2 linked regions of the Oryzias latipes genome follow. The protein of the gene in region 1 purifies or fractionates together with the protein of each later gene. This does not show direct contact. Links are inferred from orthologs where the notes say so. Each region holds a gene or a part of one and is shown on either strand. Other genes may lie near its edges.

Region 1 (9,540 bases):
TCGCCATTTTATTGCACTGGTGTTGTTGGTGTGAGGGGCTGTAAGCTAGCAGAGGAGCGTGTAAACAGAGAGCTCTCAGCAAGAGGGAGAAAAGGTGGGGGGTTGGGTTGTTCTGTGATAACAGTCCCACTTAAAATCTTTAATAAACTCCTGCCATTTTGCGGGAAACTACATCCTAGAAACACAAGTTTTTTTTCCAGTTTTTTTTTCCATTTTGGCTAGAAATGGCATAATTAAAAGATCACTGGGAACACTTTAGATCAAATGATTGGAGTTGGTATTTAAAGTTAAATTTGTATCATTTTTTGTCCATAAACTCAAACTGCAGAGGTAAGCAGTGATGATGAGGGAAAATCTGGTTTTGGAGTCAAACAGCTCATGGTTGTATTGTCTGCTGGAGTTTTCTGCCCATAACCGCCTCGTGTGGCTCAGACGTTCTGCATTATTTACCGCTGTGACTCCCAGACGCCGCTGAAACCGGGCCCAGAAAAGGCTCCTGAAGCTCCTCTGCTTCCTGTCTGTTTCAGTTGGTTCCACCGTTCCAGCCGCAGGTCTCCTCAGAGACGGACACGCGCTACTTTGATGAAGAGTTCACAGCACAGACCATCACCATCACTCCGCCAGAGAAATGTAAGCCAGTAAAGCCAGAAAGCAGCATTTGTTCAATCATGATCACCAAAAAACAAAAAAGATTTTTAGCGTTCAAGACTTTTTAGAACTGTGTGTGTTTGTCTCTGCAGACGACGAGGACGGGATGGATGCAGCAGACAACGAGCGAAGGCCTCATTTCCCACAATTCTCCTACTCAGCCAGCGGGCGGGAGTGAGCGCCCCGGCCCGGCCAGAAGCCTCTCATTTCGTGGCCATTTTGAGGAAAACACGTAGCCATTCTAGGAAGAAAAGAAAAAAAGAAAAGAAAAAAAAACAGTCTCCCCTCTTTCTCCTCATCTGCCGCCCTGCAGATGAGGAGACGTCTTTTTAGGGACTTTAAAAGAGGTTTTTGCACAGTGGGATAGACTCCAGCCGGTTTCCCCACACTAAAGAAAAAAAAAACAAGATACAAAAGAAAAAAAAGTGTCTCCTACATTTCCAGCCCTCTTTACTGCAGAAGGCAATGTTCTTATTTATTTTATTTGTCTCTCTGTCAGTATTTTGACCCAGGTCCATGGTTTTTGTTGTTATTGCCCGTTTTTCTTCTTCTTTTGACTTTTTGCACTTGGTTTGGAAGAGCCGTTTTAGGGAACAAAGAACCAAAAATGTTGCCTTACGTGTGCAGATGTTTCGTATCATACCAACAGGGTGTTTTTGTTTGTTTTGTCATCGTTTTTTTTGTTTTTTTTTGGATAAGGGTGGGTGGGTTTTGGGATATGAAGGGTCAGTCTTTGTAGAGGAGAAGTGCATGGTTTGGATAAAAGAGAAGAAAAAAAATTCCTCCCAGTTGCCATGGCAGCGCACATTTCCCAATACCATGGCAACGGCAATTGCTGTTAAAAAAAGAGAATGGATGCGTTCCTTTCGTTCCGTTTCACCCTCATAGCTCCTTTTATTTTGAAACACTACTGGAATCGCATAGTTCACTCAGGCGCCCGCAGAGCACACGCCCGTCCAGCCGCTCCCCACAGCCGGCGGAGGGCGGCGGCCTCCTCTGCTCCCAACGCTTCTGCTTCTCCTCCGTTTGCTCCCCACCGCTGTCGGGCGCAGAGGAAGGACGCGATGCCGTCACGGCGCAGAAAAGCGTTCAGCCGGAGGTCACCGAACCGGACGCCGCGGGTTCAGGTGTGTGCGAGTCCTGCGCCGCCCACGCTGAGGCCATGCCTCTGGAAATCCATCGTTTAAGTTCTACTGCGTCACTTTGTTTGCAAAAATGCTTTTTTGATATATTTTCTGTCAAATTAATCTTCCTTTAAAGATGTTTGAAATGCTGCTTTTTTTTAATTTATGTATTTATTCTCCAGAAATGTTAAAGCGAACCCAGTCTACAAACACTGGAATGAGCTGGAGGACTGACGGGGGGGGACATGGTGTCCACAGTCATGTCTTTCAGGAGTTTGGTCCTCCTTAACTTTTCCGGTTTATGTTTTGAACAGACTCAGGAGCCCCAGTTTCCGTTCTGGTGCAGTAAATCTTTGAGATTGGGAAGTGATCCTAAAGGATGAAAGTGTAGAGGAGGTGTTAGGACCAGGAGGAAAGGGTCTCGTTGCTGTTTTTCGGTCTGCATCTGCTCCAGATCGCGGCTCGATGCTGTCCTCGGGGGACGTGGGCTCTCGGGTTCGGCCAGAGGAGCCCTCTGAAGTGTGTAAAGTCTTGAATACTGTGAATTCACTGGGCTCCTCCACGTCAAACGAGACTCCTCCTGGTGGCGAGGAGCAGCCACTGATCTGATTTCTCTGAGGGCGCCGCCGGCGTCTGTCCAGACTCCTCGGATCACGCCGTGCCGCTCCCAAATATTTATGTGATGAAGATGAGCATATCAATGGCTGGAGAGCTGCAGAAGCTGCATGTTTTCGGGCTAAATTACTTATCCACACACAAACCGACAAATACTTCTTTAAATAGGAAAGAAAGTCTAGTTTATCACACAGATGCTATCAGAAGAGGCTTCCAGCTCCTCATACAGAGCTTTTGCCACATCTATCCTGTCAGTATTACCAGAGAGTTTATTTACTTGTTTTTCCAAGTGTGAAAACGTTTTGAGTTATTAATCGTGTCACAAGAAAACTGAGCCGAGAAGACGAAGAACTGCCGCGAAAAGTCACTTACTTGTCGATGTACATATGCAATGCTTCTTTTTTTTCCCTGTTTTTTTGTCCATAGCGACGAGGCAGACCTGCTGAAGACAATAAAGACCTGGAACCCACTCAGAACTGCATTTAAGAGGAGAAGAAGTTGTAAAAATACGAGGACTAGACCGTGAAGCTTTTTCTTTTCCCACCTGCTGACTCTTAACCGTACACGGAGGATGCTTCCTGACCCCACCTTCCTCCCGTCAGCGTGGCCCACGAGAATGAGGGGCTCCTGGAACCTCTGAGCGGGTTCTGTGGCCCTTCGCCCGGGACCATGGCAGACTTTTTTTGTTTTATAGTACAGGCCTCATCAGGTTGTTCCACCATTCCTCGAGGGCCCCCCCACCCCCCTAACTTTTATACGTTTTTATTTTATTTATGTTTCATCATTCTTGGCAGTGATCTCTTGTATATTGTAAAACAAACAGAGGCACCTCTTGGAAGTTGCTGAAAAGATGACGATGGATGCATTAAAGTCTCTTATTTTATTTGTTTTTGGGATCATTTTGCTTGTTTGTTTTCTTACCAAAACGTTAGAGCAAGACCCCAGTAGTGGACTTGCATTGCCGTGGTAGTATTTATTTTGAATTAAATTAAAAAGAAAAACATTTCAGGGGTTCTGTTGTGTCCATCTCTTTATTATTTTTTGGATGGTTTTTGCTTCTTTGAGCCAAAGAAACTTGTATTTAAAGTACCTTATTTTCTATGTAACAAATATCTTTTTCCCCCCTAACAGGACTTTTTTTCTCCATTCCTGATTCACGATTTAAATGAAGAAACGCTCAGAAATGCAACTTAGAGCTACTGCAATTTTCTATATGTCCATCATGAGAAAAACGCCTCAAGAGCTTGTTAAAAGCTGTAATTTCTTCTCAACTGGGCTTTAGCAAAGTGAAATATCCAAGTCAAGTTGAGCAACAGAGTCACAAGAACAAGCAAAAGGCTGGATTCAAGTGCAGCAGGTTTATTAGCTCAGCTAAAAGTCCACAAAGCTAACTCCGGGTCAGGCAGGCAGGAATCGATAACAGGCAGGAGATCATCAGAGGAGAGACAGGGTAGTCAGGATCCAGAAGCTCTGGTCCAGCTCCAACACTCGGTAATAAAAACAGAGTGGCACAAACAATCCTTCTCCCTATGTGGCACCTTAAGTCGACTGTGATTGAGTGAATATGACTCAGTTGTGTGGCATCCAGGAAGTGCACGCTGGGGTTGCTGGGAGATGAAGTGCATTCGGGACTCTGGACATAGTTCCCGCTGGTGACCAGAGGGGGAAACAGAGTTCTGACTTCTGACAAAAAGACTGCAAGGAATGTGAAGGTTTACATGCGGTTAGTTGTCCAGATTTGATTGACAGTTCTGGTGAATTTTGACAGCATCTAAAGATCAAAATTGTAGTTGTTTTTTTACTTCTTTTAGCAGAGCAGAATCCAACAAACTCTTAGTTGAATTGAGGTAGTAAATGACAAATACTGAAAGATGAGTAATGAATTCTGAAGCGTCTCATTTATGAGTATTAGGTAAAAAAAATAACTAAATTGATCTCAAGAGGAGAGCTGGAGAGTGGTGTAGTGGTTAGCACTCTTCCCTCACATCAAGAGGGTTTGAATCTTTCTGTGTGGAGTTTGCATGTTCTCCCTGTGCATGTGTGTATTCTCTGTGGGAACTCTGGTTTCTTCCCACAGTCCAAAAACATGCTTCAGAGGTTAATTGGTGTCTCTAAATTACCCGTAACCCTTGTGCTATCCAAGGCACGTTAACGTTGGGAGTTGGGTCATTTAGACCCACTAGACAGTGCGCTGAACCGTTTTTCTTCAGATCTTCACTGGTGTCCATGCATTACATGAAATCCTCTCCACCCTTATCATGGTAGGGGTAACACGTCAATGTAAGGGTGGGGTCATTTTGACCCCATAAGATAGCACAAGGGCTGGGTGTGAATGTGAGCCAACAGTTGCTGGGTGGGGTTCCAGCCCTTTGAGTCTGAAAGGGACGGACGGATGGATGGATGGATGGACCTCAAGTGACAGCAAATTTCTGAAGAAAATCCAACAGACGTCCCTGCATCTGTAGCACACACAGCTGTTTCCTCGTCAAATGTGTGAAGCTCCTCATTGGACACTGATACTGATTGGAGTTTCCTGAGGAGCATTTTTCCTCTAAATAATCAGTAAAAAAGTCAGCGCTGACACGGTTTCCTTTGCCAACACTTCTTTTTAATCGAAAACAAAGATCATCTCTGCTTGCAGACGCTTTTACAGAACTAACTTAAAACAGAACGAAGACACTGTCAAGTGTCACTAAACCTGAGATGCAGGTCGACTGATCAACAGAAAGGATAACGAGAACCAATATGGTCAGCTGAGAGCTTGGCTCAAGCTCCTCCCCTCCAGAGAGCCACCACGCCGCCTCCCTGAAGTGAGCTTTTCTCCGATGAAGAACATCTTCCGGGGTCACTCTGGGATGGCGGGAGGCCAGTCCACGTCCACAGACTGACACAGGAAACAAAAGTTAGACTCAACGTTTGGACACGTCGGGTCAGAAACGTTTAGGTCGAGGGCCCCACCTCCACGTCCAGCTCCAGGATGTCCGTGTCGGTTTTCAGCAGCTCACACAGGTTGGGTTTAGTGCGACCGAAGTCTCCGTGCACAAACTCTTTGATGTAGCTGTTCGTCAGGCGTTAAGAAGTTTCCCGCAGCGGCTCTGACAAAATTAAACTAAGCAGCAGTGAGGATACGTCCCGGCCTGCGTTTTCAGCCGCAGGTAAAAGTGGTGATCGTCCACGTAGCGGGCGTTCATGCTGTGGATGACTCGCTGTCGGACCGCCAAAGCCCGCCGGTGCAAAACCCTTAGAGGAGTCTTCTGACCTAGAGTCAGGTCCTGATGAGACAAAACGGCATTTCAGAATGTGTTGCTGTGCTGCGCATGGAGAAAGAAAGTCTAGTTTCTTCTGATCGTTGGACCAGATAGACCTTGATCTCATCGATGAAGCCAATGTCTTCTTTCTGAATGGGCCTCTGGGTCCAAACAAGCGCCGTGTACGACTTGGTTTTCTCCTCCTCTCCCTCCTTCATCCGACCCATGGCCTCCCTGCAGTTTGACACACAGCGCCGTCAATCGCGCTCACTCGTCGACCCACAGGCGGCCGCGCAGGTGAGGCATCCACGCTCACCTGGTAACAATCTGCAGGTCTCGCACTCTGATCTTATCTGAGGACTTGTTTATGGTCTGAAAACAGAAGACAGTAGCGGCTCTGAAGAAACAAATTCCTTTGTTTTTTATCTCATTTAATCAAACATTTAAACAAGAGGAGAACCCCCTCGTTTTAAGAGGGTCCTGCAAGGTAGATGAGAAATAATGAGAAAGACCATTTTTTTTATTTAAACAATTGACATTTGCTATATTTGGTCGCTGCATGTGAAAAACTGTTTAAGCTCGAGTCATTTATAGGTTAGTTTTAGTGATGAAAGAGCAAAATATCTTAAAATAGTTGGGATTAGAATGAATTACTGATAGAACTCTGAAAAAGATCTAAAAGCCCTAAAAACTATAAATCTGCCTCTTTGGTAGAAAAAAAACTGACTTAAGCTACGTACTCACTGGGCCCATTCAAGAACGCACGGTTAGCCCACGGTGTTCACACTGGACAAGCAGGGGGGGTCTTCTTCTTTTTAATACTAATAATAATTGATACTTTATTTATCCCACAGTGGGGAAGTTCTTCTCCGCATTTGACCCACTCCCCGGGGGAGCGGTGAGCTGCAGCCGAACCGCACCAGAAGAGGCTTCATGCGAAATGTTGTAGATGTGCAAATCTCGTAAAACTTGCTTCTTTTTTTTTTTTTCCCCACAGCCCCAGTCCAATATATGAAAGATTTGGCATCCGGAACAAATCACAACTAGGAATTTCTCCTCCATGATCAATTTACAAACAGTTGGCTCTTTTGTGACTTAAGAGGGACACCGTCCATACGTCAAATCCGGGTCAGAGAGGTCAAAGTTCAACCTTGTTTAACTAGCAACGCAAGCCCAAAAACGGTCTTGAAAGCGTGCGTGAAGACCCGAGTTTTGAACGCAGAACCCCGAAACACTTGCTTACGTAGACTTTTCTTTGGAAGTGGCCGTGTGAACGTATTTTGCAGAGCTTTGAGACTTTTGCATTATAAAGGAAAGCTCAAGAAAGACTTTAATCACCTCCTGTAGCTCTTTCATCTCCAGTTTGCTCAATCTGGATCTGTGTGGATTCTGCAGCTCCATCGCAAACGGTCGTCCTGTTGGAAAACACGCCACATGACAGTAAAAGATACAGAATAAGAAATAGGTAGATTTATGTATTTCAATTAAAAAAACAATCCTGAATTTCAACCCTTTGACTTCCGGATTGAAGCACTTTAAAAAACAAAATCAAGTACCCACATGGTGATGTGCAACACAACCATTGACTGTACACGACAACTGAACTGAGTGACCCCCCCTCCCAGCGAGAGACATAGACTTCTATAGAGAAACACACAGCTTGGTCAGAATAACCATTCTTGCTCATGTGCTTGATCTTCCTAATCTTTTTTTTCCATTTTATTTGCAGTCCAAGTTATATAAGTTACAAAGTGGCCAATCAGATGCCTCAACAAACGTAGGTGGTCTCGCATTGAGCGTCTGAAAAGTTTAATTATTTTGATTTTTTTGTAGCCAGTTTTTAAATTGTAGGGGTGTGGCCTTCCAACAAGCTCACTCCTGACTGGTGAGGGTGGTTGCCATAGAAATGTTGACTCAGACCGACTTGGATCAATCACCGCTCACTGACGACGTCCAGCCTTCAACATGGCGGCGACCGTATCACAAGAAAGTGACGACTTAATTGACCGCCTTTGGTTGGAGCTGACGGTAGGTGTGTGCGATGACATCACACTCACTCGTTCCAGGCCTCAGATACAGTCAATGTAAACAACCAAGCAATTCAATTGTGATATCACAACACGGTTGTGTCAACAAGCTTCACAGCTGTCGTTTACTCACAAGAAATCGCTTATTTTCCATTATGTAAATGTAAATTAGCTCCATTTTAAGGCAGAAATGAACATGTTTACATTCTAATTTCACCTTTTCAGGAAATTTTATGACTTCATCACAGCTATATATTAATGTTTTTACAAACATTTTTGTTTTGCTAAACATTTTTTCTTCAACGTGTGCAGAAACGATTGACAGGTGGGTTTTGAACCGTCTGCTCTGCAGCAGCCTGAAACACCGTGAAGCAAAAAAATCTGGTTTCAAGTTTGGCTCCGCCGTCACATGACCCCATAGAGCGTCCATCTCCGTTAAACGGCGCGTTAAACTCACCGTTTCCCAGAGTCCGGACATCCACGTCTTCTCTACCAGACGAGGAGAAATTAAATCCTGCCAAACCAGAAGCAAGGCTTTGTTATGATGGTTATCCCCGGTTTACTCGCTGTCATGGGGTGGCGGCTTCGGGACTGCGGCGGCGCCTCAGCCGTGGACTCACCGCCAGCTCTGAAGGCCGTCAGGATGGGCGCTGCAATCAGCTCCTCCACCGAGGACTCCATCCTCCTTTCTCCATCAATCAACCAGGGAGTCTGAGGCAGACTGCGGCAGAACTTGTTGTACCTCCCTGGACGCGCAGAGGAAGAGGAGACGGGATTCAGTCGTCACCAACACCTTCAGGACATTTTCCAAACATCTACCTGCTATGAAGACGGACACATGGAGGCACTGCACGTCCTGAGGGACGCAGCTGCAGGCTGGCCGGGCCGGGGGACAGGGGTACTGCCTGCAGAGGATGAAGCAGAAATTAAAAAAACAACTAACATTTGATGAAAAACTCTCCGTTTGAAGGCGAAACTTACTTTAGGAACTTGTCGTCGGATATCTTTTCCAGAGCTTTGACCACAGCCATGCGGGTGAACACCGACTGTAGAAACAAACAACAGTTTTTTTACCCAACAGAAGAAAAACAAACAACAATTTAGTGATGTTTCAATATCCTTAAATCATGAAACTTTCAATTCACCTGCTTGTTTTTGGTGGGTTTGAAGCAGTCGGGACAGACTTTAGCTCTGTTGGAAAAACAGAAGTTGAAGGTTTTGCTTTTGTAGACGTCACTCAGAAACTTGATTCTGTCCCGCAGCCGTCCTGGACAGAAGGTCCAGATCGTTTTTACGCTTCTTCTGTCTTACATCGCCTTTGAATGAAAACTTCACAGTGAACGACCCCCCCCCCTCCCTTAAAAAATATAATAATAATAAAAAATGACGACATCATAGTGGGAGAACCATAGAATAAAATGAATGGAAACAAAATCTGTTACGTGGCTCAGAAAATCTTGCAGGCTCGTGTGTTTGTGTGTGTGAGTGTGAGTGTGTGTGTGTGTGTCCCAAGTAGCTTCACAATGATGCTCGAGAAGTTAGGAGGTGAGAGATCAAAATCCTTTAGGAGGAGTTTAAAGGTGTGGTAAAGGCGATTTTTATTTTTGAAAATTAAAGATTACAAGTATCTTCCTGAGGTCAAAGGTCAACAAAACATCAGTGGTGGTTGTAACTTTTCCCCATGCCCAAAATTCATTTCTACCGGTTACTAGGTGCATGCCCACGTTTGCTGAGTTTTAGATTTTGTGGCGGATGACAGAAGGATTGCACAAACAATCGTATCCTTCAGTCCAGGACGTCTGTGGGACAGAATGAAAATGTCCATGAGTCATTAAAAACAAGGATATACAGTACAGAACAGAGGTTTGGACTCACCTT
Region 2 (10,632 bases), on another chromosome or scaffold:
GTCATAAAAGCCCTGCCCCCTCCTGCAGAAAATGTCTACTCTTTTTAGAAAAACTGTCCTTTCCTCGTCTCTTCCTATCTGTCATTCTTGCTGTTCCAGCTGGTTGATGAGGAGAAGGCTGTGGTGTTGACAGAAAATGAGAAGCTGGTGGCCCTGTGCCAGCAGCTGCAGATGGGGGCCAAGACCCCTGTTCAGGGCAAGACTGCCCCCTTCCAGAAGGTACCTAAACTGCATCTTTGGCTTCATTCATCTGGAGTTTTATGTGATCGTTGTTCATGTAAATGCTGTGTATCAAGGTGAAAATAGTTTGTGTGTTTATTCAGAAAGATTATTTCAAATCAATACCTTACTGTCCCACTAGCTGAAATCATCTTCTAAAGTCCTCGTTAATCTGTCTTTATTTTCTAATTAATGTATGAGTTTTATATCTAAAATGAGTTTGATATATCGGTTTTGTAATTTTTTTAAATTGTATTATTCTATTACCTATATATATTTATAGAGAGAGAGAGCAATTTGAAAAAAAAAGCACTGCTTATTAAAACTCCCCACTGTTTGTTTATAAATGCAAATATAATTACACACTCCATGTTATAAACACACTCACTAGTTTTTGGGGAATTAATAAATTAAATTGTTTTTTTTAACTTTAGAAATGTGTTATTAGTTTATCAAGTCAAATAGACTTTCCGCTGAAGTATTTTATTGTTATTTCCAGTGCTTTATAGCATTCAACCAATTATTATTAGAATAATCATCAACTGAAACTTTATAATTAAAGGGAATGACTGTTTTGCTTTGAAATACACAAATTATTTTTCCAGAGAAACGTTTGGCTTGTAGAAACCTAATTTGGCCGGTAAACTTTGGATGTTACCGGCGTCCCGACTGGTAACCAAAAAAGTTCATCTAGAATTTTAGGTAATTCCACCTTTGTAGGAGCAATAAAGTTTTTTTTCCAGTCTATATATTGTAAGGACAGTGAAAAGAAGCTACCCCCCTTGTTAGTTATTTTTTAGTTATTTTATAATTGTTTAGTTTTAAAACTGTTCAAGTGTTTGTGGGTTCATTACAAACCGTGTAGTACTGTAAATGGCCAGCAGGTGGAACTAGCGCCGTCGAGTAAGAATGACGTCATGCTGGAGCGAAGGGCAGCATGAATGAGAGGGAAAGAAAAGAGATCTGAGGAGCACTGAGAGTTTGTTTTTCCAGAAAAAAATAACCCACATGTATGTGCTTGCATAAGCTGCTTTACTTGGAAAAACCCGTGAGTAAAACTCACAAAATGTGCAGTGGTGTGCTGTTCATTTAAAGTGTGCAACAATATTCTGCCCAGACCAAATTCCGATGGAATTCTGTTTCAATATGTAGCAATTTTCTTTCAATAGGAGGCAGTAAATATCTTTAATATCATAGAAAGGCTAAATCAACATTCAGAGACCTTAATTAAAGCATGTGTGAACATCTACTTTCATTAGGCGCAAAACAAATGAACAGACATTTGATCTGGCAGTTTAAACACTTTTACAATATTTAACGTTTTATATTTCCCACCAAAGCCCGCCATCAAAAGAGGGAAAAAAGAAAGAAAAAATACCTTTAAACATATCAACTGCTAATGTAAAAGCTTGGGTAAATGAACCCAATTCAATCAATCTGAAACATTTAATTTTAAGCGAAAATGTCTTTTCTTTGTATTTGTCTGCAGGTGGACTCCACCATTCAAGCAAGCAGAAGTCTAATGACAGTGGTCGCCTCCCTCCTTCCACTCTGTAACAAGCTCATCAAAAAGGTGACATCCAGACACTAAACTGAACACTAAACTCTTTAAAGTGCCACTTTAAATCCATCTTTTGATCTATTCTAAAAGCCCTCCCAGTGGTCTTTTAATTATAGTTGTGTTGTTTTTAGACAAAATCATAAAACCTGTGTCGTTTTCTAGGACATAGTTTCTGCAGAGCAGAAGGAGTGCGTTAAGAATTCACCTCTGAGTTATAGCTGTGAATGTCTTTCCTGTTCTCTCCCAGCTATCCAGCCGTACATTTTTGAACCAGATGTCACTTTGGACAAGGAAAACAAAGACGTACACGGATCAATTTGTCTACAAGTGGATGCATCAGAATGGAGCAAAGCAGGAAGCTTGTGAACCGCAATCTTATTCCAACGGCATTTTTCCGTCTGCTCCTGATTCACAAAAGCTTGAATAAAAACTCAGAAATACAATTTTAATCTGAAGATTTATATATATATATGTATATATATATATATATAGATATAGATATATATATAGATATGTATGTCCCTCATTATCAGAAAAATGCCACAGGAACATATTAAAAACACCAAAAAGACCATTTTCATAGAACTGGGTCTAATGAAAAATATCCCAAAACACAAAGATGCCGTCTAGAACAACATTCACTTCATTAAGTTCTCAGTTGGGGGAAAAGCATCAGTGTTTAAATGTCTTTGTCCCCTAATCAGAATCTCCTCTGTTGCAGCATAAATCAGAGCGTACAAGCCTCAGTTCCCCTCAGGACTGGAGGGAGACGCAGCACACGTCCGCTCCAGTTAAAAAAGACGCGGCCCTGAATGGCAATAACAGCAACGGCTTTGGAGTCAAGTCCTTGGACGAGCACATGGCCAGCCTCAACCTACTGGAGAGCAAATAATTCAGGAGATGATCTCCATGTTATCTTGTTCTCCGCATCAGCAAAGCAACCTCACTTCTGTGGAGCACTCCTGATCCAAGAAAGAGTCACTAGAAAAGTGGCTAGAAGCTGTAAAAACAGACTTTGTTGGGCAGAATTTGCCTTAGGTGGAATAATTCTGCAGTTAAAAACATAAAAGCCCAATCTGGAGGTAGTCATGCACTGTTAATCTGAAACAGTTCCATCCCAGTCCACTAGAGGACGACAATCAAAACTACCGGTAGTATTGCGTTTCCAAGAAAAGTGAGGTCATCTTAAATCTAATTTTGGAGTAACCGTCATTAGTTGAGCTAATAAAATGATCAGAAGTCAGGAAATAAAAGCCCCCCTTCAGCCATACATCTGTCTTCACCATGTGCCTCAGTGTAACAGACCTGTGTGCTTTGTGCTGTATTGTTAATGTATTGGACAAGTTACATAAGGACAAAAAAACACACAAGCTACATGATGCAGTCATCACTACAACCTTTGTGCAATCTCAGCCTGGTAACATGAACCTTTTAACTAAATGTTTTATAGTGGCCATACGAGTATTTTACAAGTTCAACTTCATTTGTCATCATTTCACGTGTGATAAGTTCATTTAGCGAAAGAAAATCTGTTCAATGCCAAATATTCTGACTACTGCAAACTAATCAGAAGTGACAGCGGAGACTTTTTTTTTTTACCTTATTTAGGAACGAAAAGGTTAAGTAAAGCTTTTTAACCCTTGTGCTATCTTAGATGACCCCACCCTTACATTGACGTCTTCTCCCTACCATGACTAAGGTGGATAAAGGTGGAAAGATTTCATGTAATCCATGGACACCAGTGAAGATCACAAATCATTGAAGAAAAAAGGTTCAGAGCACTGTCTAGTGGGTCTAGATGACCCAACTCCCAATGGTAAAGTGCCTAGGATAGCACAAGGGATAACGAGAAATTATATCAGATGCTACCGTCTTAAATATTACAGAAATTATTCAGAAGTGCCACGCATTTGTGGATACTGGGAAGCATCTGAACCACTGACTGTAAATGAGGACTGGACTGAGTAACCCCTCCCCCTGGCGTCCCAAACAGGAAGTATCCACTGGTTCCAAGAAACCAAAATCTCATAGACCTTTTATAAAGCACTAGTTAGCATTTTTGTTAGTCAGAATAATCTTTCTTACCCTGATACCTTATTTTTACATAATCTTGATAATTTTATATGTTTTTTTCTTTTTTGCAAGTTATTCAACGTATAAACTGACCAGACACCTCAATAACAGGTAACCCCCCCACATGGAACATTTAACAGATTACCCCCGCTTTAGGTGGTATAATAAGCTCACTCCTGATTGGTTAGAGGGGTTGCCATAGAAACAATGACTCAGATCGACTTGGACCAATCACTTGCTTACTGACAATTTCAGGCTCCAACAGGCAAAAAAATGACTGAATCGACTTCGTTGGAGCCAGAAGTCCTTTGCTATGGGTGACATCACACTCAGTCCAGCTCTCATATATAGTCAAAGATCTGAACTCAACTGCATGTATTAATATGATATATTTCTAAGTATTTATGGTACTTGAAGCCTATTCAGTGATGGTTTTGCTATTTCTAGAGGCAGTCTGATGATGATTTAACTGTGTGAGAGCAGTTAAAGATGTGAAAAAAATCATATCTAGTTTTGGATCACCTCTTCTTTTGACAGCTGAAACGTGAAGAAAAGAAGAAATAAACAATATTTTTTTTAATTAAAAAAAAGTCACCGGTTGTTTTTTTTACAACAAAAAAATGAACGACTCACTATTTTCTCCAAAAGTAATTTAACAACCACAAAAAAAGCAAGGCCTGTTAGAATCAAAATCAACAATAGTATTGATTAATACATAATTTTTCAATGCACCATTCAGTCTGTACTCCATGTGTTTTGAGCTGATGGGGAGGAAAAAAAACCCAAAAACTGCTGTTCCAGCTTGAAGATGGCACTCTTCATCAGGACGCTTGTGGCTGCTGATCACGCTTGGAGACGATGCTCTCAAACTCTTTCCTGCTCAACAGATTTTCTGTCACACTCTTGCTTTCCTCAAACTTTGGGAGGATGACAGCGATGTATCCTTCAGTTGACGGCTGATTGAACAAAAGAGAATAAATGTGTCAAAAAGGATGAAATATTACAGGATTTTTGGTTTGAAAGTGTTCTGATGTAGTTCTGGTATCCAGACGGTAAATTCTACATTTAAAGAGACATAAATGTTCAGCTTTGATGACGTAAACAAACTTGCCTTTTCTAGTAACAGATTTGGTCTTTCCAAAATATTCTCATTGACCTCCAGCAGACGGCCGCGGATGCAGCTGAAGACAAATGTTTAAGTTACAAAAACGTTCCATAAAGTGGAAGATGAATCCAGGATAAAGGGCGGGAAATCTCACCTGTAGATTGTATACTTGGTCTCATCTGTGCATGTAATTCTACACAAAGGTGCAAAATCTGTAAGAAACTGACCTCCCTGTTTTGGGGAGAGGGGAGTAAAACATGAAAAAGGAAACATTTTGATACTAGAAATAAGAGCACAAAAATAGTTTACCCTCTTGGATTTTCCAGAAACTTTATTGTTTAAGCGACTGCAGCCGTTACTGATCTGGTAGTTTATGGTTTTGATTGTGCGTCCATTCTGGAGAACCGGATGGGTTTCTGCTAAAGTGACGACACATATTCTGGAGAGCAAAAAATATATATATGAAAGTCTTTAGACAATATTTATTCTAGAAGTAAATAAACTATAAGCTGAGTGGAAAATGACAGTAAAGTAACTGTCTGGTGTGTGTATAAAATGCAGACTTAACTGCAACTATAAATCACCTAAACTTGAACAAAAATGTAATATTTTCTGTTCAAGTTGTTTTAGATTTAGAGGATTTAGTCTTCTGTTGCAACTATAACATATATTGGGATTTTTACACTAAAGGAATTCTCAATGGTACCGAGACAACTCACTGCGCATGCGTAACGCGTTAGCAAAGAAAACTACTAATTAACTCCACCTGTTTGAATGCTGGAGAATACAGTGGTCCTCGCATGGTTGCCCCTTCATATCTAAAATATAGAAACAATTGCTTATTTTTAAGCCAATATACTTGAACATATTACTTATCCAGTTAAATAAAAATATCGACGGACATTAATTAATCAAGACTTTCTTACCTGCTCTGTACCACCGTGTGTAGTATCGGTCGATAATTGATGGCGGCTCTAATTCAGTATCTTTCTGCGTCTCGCTGTCCATTAAATCTTAAATGCAATAACAAAATTAAACACCTAAAACTGCGTCGCTGGTGTGTGTTCAACGGACAACTGGGGGCGTGACACGCTGGGTCCCTCCCTTAAAAACGTCCGACTACTTCTGCAGGAGTTAAAGAGTTCCACCCTCTACCTAAAAAGGAGTTTTAATTTTTTTTATTACTTTTTTATTTTTTTATTCCACTGAATAGTAGGACTTTTAAAAACACAAAAGATTTTTAGTAGTTCCCCACTAAGTTTGGTCGAAATTAGCTTAACATGTTAAAAGAAAAGGGAAAAAAAGGGAGCTAAAATCCACCAATTCTTTATCCCTACCATTTCTTAAAAAACTCAGTTAATCTAGTTTGTGTTTTTTACCCCTTTGTTTACATTCCCCATGTTAAATCTTATTAAATCAATGTTATTTTTTTTCACAAACTGTGTAATTCCAACTTTAAAGTCCTATAAACACTCACTTTTTAATTAAAATGATTATTGCCAAATGATCACTTCTTGGATCAATTTGTCTACAAGTGGATGCATCAGAATGGAGCAAAGCAGGAAGCTTGTGAACCACAGTCTTATTCCAACGGCATTTTTCCGTCTGCTCCTGATTCACAAAACCTTGAATAAAAACTCAGAAACACAATTTTAATCTTAAGTTTATATATATATATATATATATATATATATATATATATATATATATATATATATATATATATATATATATATATATATATATATATATATATATATATATATATATATATATATATATATATATATATATATATATATATATATATATTAGTGATGGGACGATGATACCTCAAGGTGTGTATTGACACACTAAACAAACTGTGTTGTCACTGTATTGATACTGTGTTGGTCACCCAATAGTGACCCCAGCAGTAGTTATAAAATCATTGCAGGTAAAGAAATTCCTTGTTGGTGTAAATGCTAAAACTGAGTTAGTATGTAAAATATAGCAAATTAGAGTAAAAATTCAGAGTTACAATTTTTTAACTTTTGTGCACATTTGTCATCTTAACTTTTAAATCATATGAAATAAAAGACAAAAAGTGATTAGTTCATGAATTTTTATTGAGAAACCAGCTCCCCAGCCGCATGGTACAGACGATGATGGTGAGCAGAGGGTTTTAAGTGCAAGTTGATAAAGATGTGGGTATATTTCCTGGTTCCATTTCCAATATTGCAAAGGATCTTGGTTTCTGGGTGTGTTTGTTTCTGCCAGGTAACGTTAGACTTCAATAATGGAGTCAGCTGTTGCGTTCCTCGTCTTCTGGGTCTCTGCAACCTCCAGATCTAAAGTTTTCCAGAGATTGTGCCCTAAAAAAATAGTTAATCATTACTTTATTATCACATGATATATCATATCACAAAGTGCCACTGAAATGTATTTTCATACCTGAACTGGGTTCTGACCCATGTGAAGAGCTAGGCTCTTCTTCTCTTGGCTCCTCATTTCTTCTGCACATTCTGACTGCAGTCTCTTCACCGCTTCACTTGCCTTTTGCTGACTAACAAATCCATTCTTTTTAAATCTGGGATCTAACAGAGTTGCCAGAGTCATCACACAGAGATTCCATGCCGCAAATAGGGTTAGTTAGCCGCTTCCTCAGGTTTTCAGCCAGTTGCTGAGCAGCTATTTTTGTTACAGTTGTGGCCTGACGTTGGAGCTCAATGTGGATCATTCTCATCATGGGAATGACCTTCGACCCAGAGACCCTTTTTTCCTCTTGAAGCTTGGTCAAAAGGAGCTAGAACCCTGAGCATCTCTTCAATGATCTGACATTCTTCTGGAGTCAGTGGAGTGATGTCAGGTTTTGATGAGGCCAGTGACACCCAGACTGCCTCCTTCTGCTCAGTCATTCCTTCAAACATGTAGGTACTGTTCCGTCGTGTTGGCACCTCGTTTATTCATTTATGGCCCCGTGTTCCCAGCTGTTGCTGTATTTGAGTGAGCTTCTCTTTAGCAGTCATGCTCCATCGAAAGTATGTCACAATGTGTCGTGTTTTGTTGCGTATTTCAGTTATTGTTGGGATTTGATCACATGATTTTCTCACAGTTAAATTCAGGGAATGGGCTATACAAATGGTATGCCGTATTTGCAGCATTCAAGCACATGCAGTCATGTTTGCTGCTGCATCAGTGACAAGACACCTGACCTTTCCTGCTATGCCCCACTCCTCCATGAGGCTCCTTTTAACCGTGGCAATGTTTTCTGCAGTGTGTTTCTGAGGAAAATGCTGCACTGCCAAGACTGATGAATGGAGTTCATGGCTAGATATGCCTCCATATTCATAGACGTCCACATATCAGCTGTTAAAGTAACAGCAACGGCACTCTGGAGGTCCTTTTTGGTTTTCTCCTTTTCCTCCTCATATTTCTGGCTCACCAAGTCCTTGATGGTCTGAAAACAACCATACAAATACTGTTACACCAATAAAATATAGTTATATAGTTAGTACAAACATATAATAAACATTCTTAAACATACCTTCCTGCTTGGTAGAGCATACGAGGGTAAAATAAGCTTCAGAAGCTCCCTGAATCCCTCATTTTCAACAAAGCTGAGTGGCTGACAGTCTTTGATGATCATATTGACCACTGCCTCATCCACTGCTTGCTTGTTAGGAACTGCAAGCCAAAAGGAACTATTTTGTCAAAAGCTTAATAAAATGACTGTAATTTTTACAAACAATATCAAATAGACATAATACGACGTGGTGGAGCAGTGGTTAGCACTGTCGCCTCACAACAAGAGGGTTGGATGTTCGATACCTGGCCTGGAGCCTGTCTGTTTGCATGCGTGTTTTTTTTTTTTAGCACAATTTTTAGAGAGAATTTAATAAATACCTGGGGTACTCTCACGAGTATCTGCCAATTCTTCATAGCCATGCGTAGCTCTATAATGCCTCAGCATTGATGAAGTGCTCTTATTGATATAAGATAGCTCTGTGGAGCAGAGCCGACACTTCACCTACAATAACACAAAAAGTTTATTTATCTGAAAACAATTCAAACCTTTTACCAGAACATTGCATTCACTTGTTAAAAAAAATAAACACCCTATCTCATGATTAGGGATAAGGATCTCATAATTACATGATAACATGAATAAAGCAACTGTAAGGCTCTCTAACTGACTATCATATGTATCACGGGTCATTCACTTGATAAACTGATAAAGTGAGTGCAATGCGCCACCGTAAAAAATAGTATATAAAGGAGAAAACGATTTACCTTGTATGGCGTCACGAGATCAAAATTATTCCACACCGGGGAACACTTCCTAGGACGATCCAGGATCAAGCAGAACTCCATCCGACAAACCCACGACATGTTGATACAGTTTGTTTCCTGATAAACACACTTTGGCGCGGCACATCCAAACATATATATATATATATATATATATATATATATCCCTTATCATCAGAAAAATGCCACAGGAACATATTAAAAACACCAAAAAGACCATTTTCATAGAACTGGGTCTAATGAAAAATATCCCAAAACACAAAGATGCCGTCTAGAACAACATTCACTTCATTAAGTTCTCAGTTGGGGGAAAAGCATCAGTGTTTAAATGTCTTTGTCCCCTAATCAGAATCTCCTCTGTTGCAGCATAAATCAGAGCGTACAAGCCTCAGTTCCCCTCAGGACTGGAGGGAGACGCAGCACACGTCCGCTCCAGTTAAAGAAGACGCGGCCCTGAATGGCAATAACAGCAACGGCTTTGGAGTCAAGTCCTTGGACGAGCACATGGCCAGCCTCAACCTACTGGAGAGCAAATAATTCAGGAGATGATCTCCATGTTATCTTGTTCTCCGCATCAGCAAAGCAACCTCACTTCTGATCCAAGAAAGAGTCACTAGAAAAGTGGCTAGAAGCTGTAAAAACAGACTCGTGTTGGACAGAATTTGCCTTAGGTGGAATAATTCTGCAGTTAAAAACATAAAAGCCCAATCTGGAGGTAGTCATGCACTGTTAATCTGAAACAGTTCCATCCCAGTCCACTAGAGGACGACAATCAAAACTACCGGTAGTATTGTATGGAGAGAAATTAGACTCAGTCGGATTTGTGCGTGCGTAATTCTTGATTTGTGCGTAAATTAGGATTTGTGTATGCATATTCTTGCTTTGTGCGTGCGTAAATTAGGATTTGTGCATAACTTTGGATTTGTGCGTGATTTGTTATTCACATAACACGTTTTGTGTATAAGTTAAAAAAATATAAAATGAAAAAAATACAAAATGCAATTTACATATGCACAAATTAAGATTACAACAGCTTGAAACTACTTACACACACACATCTTTAAAAAACACGCACGAATCCCTTGTTACGCACACACGAACCCAAAGTTACGCACGGATCTACCGTGAGACTCTTTTCGCGTCTCACAAATCCGTCCGTAAGTGCTGCGTTTAAATACCAGTGGAATGCTCGGTCATTAGAATCTTCCTATCAGCCTTCCCTTCTAAACGTATTTCCTTCAGTGGGTGTAGCAGGGCTTAAAAAAACTTTAAAGGAAAATAAAAATAATTATCTGAGAATATGACGTTCACTCTTAAACGCTAATATATATATTAAAAGTATATTATTCTCCGAGACACCGAATTGATACAAAATGCGTAACAG

Evidence for each region.
Region 2: the proteins of pus10 (region 1) and fam206a purify together in Homo sapiens (affinity purification with mass spectrometry; 3 studies listed by BioGRID and IntAct, counting the BioPlex papers as one, with this or other methods). This does not show direct contact. The link is inferred for Oryzias latipes from reciprocal best matches to the Homo sapiens genes PUS10 and ABITRAM.

What each region holds. Positions count from the first base shown.
Region 1 is NC_019859.2:4,093,305-4,102,844, forward strand, and holds the end of pus10 (putative tRNA pseudouridine synthase Pus10), read right to left. Parts: intron 8,854-9,540; coding exon 8,808-8,853; intron 8,709-8,807; coding exon 8,644-8,708; intron 8,568-8,643; coding exon 8,482-8,567; intron 8,409-8,481; coding exon 8,283-8,408; intron 8,177-8,282; coding exon 8,120-8,176; intron 7,051-8,119; coding exon 6,974-7,050; intron 6,008-6,973; coding exon 5,952-6,007; intron 5,870-5,951; coding exon 5,752-5,869; intron 5,660-5,751; coding exon 5,517-5,659; intron 5,446-5,516; coding exon 5,346-5,445; intron 5,272-5,345; coding exon 5,233-5,271; 3' UTR 4,974-5,232; downstream 1-4,973. Other genes in the region: RAC-gamma serine/threonine-protein kinase, read left to right, coding at 528-630, 741-826. UniProt on the Homo sapiens protein: Protein with different functions depending on its subcellular location: involved in miRNA processing in the nucleus and acts as a tRNA pseudouridylate synthase in the cytoplasm.
Region 2 is NC_019869.2:9,199,204-9,209,835, forward strand, and holds fam206a (protein Simiate), read right to left. Parts: upstream 6,080-10,632; 5' UTR 5,967-6,079; coding exon 5,885-5,966; intron 5,777-5,884; coding exon 5,725-5,776; intron 5,398-5,724; coding exon 5,268-5,397; intron 5,190-5,267; coding exon 5,113-5,189; intron 5,035-5,112; coding exon 4,965-5,034; intron 4,810-4,964; coding exon 4,675-4,809; 3' UTR 4,415-4,674; downstream 1-4,414. Other genes in the region: ctnnal1 (alpha-catulin), read left to right, coding at 100-219, 1,709-1,792, 2,502-2,672; zinc finger BED domain-containing protein 4-like, read right to left, coding at 8,161-8,397, 8,485-8,624, 8,844-8,910. UniProt on the Homo sapiens protein: Actin-binding protein that regulates actin polymerization, filopodia dynamics and increases the branching of proximal dendrites of developing neurons.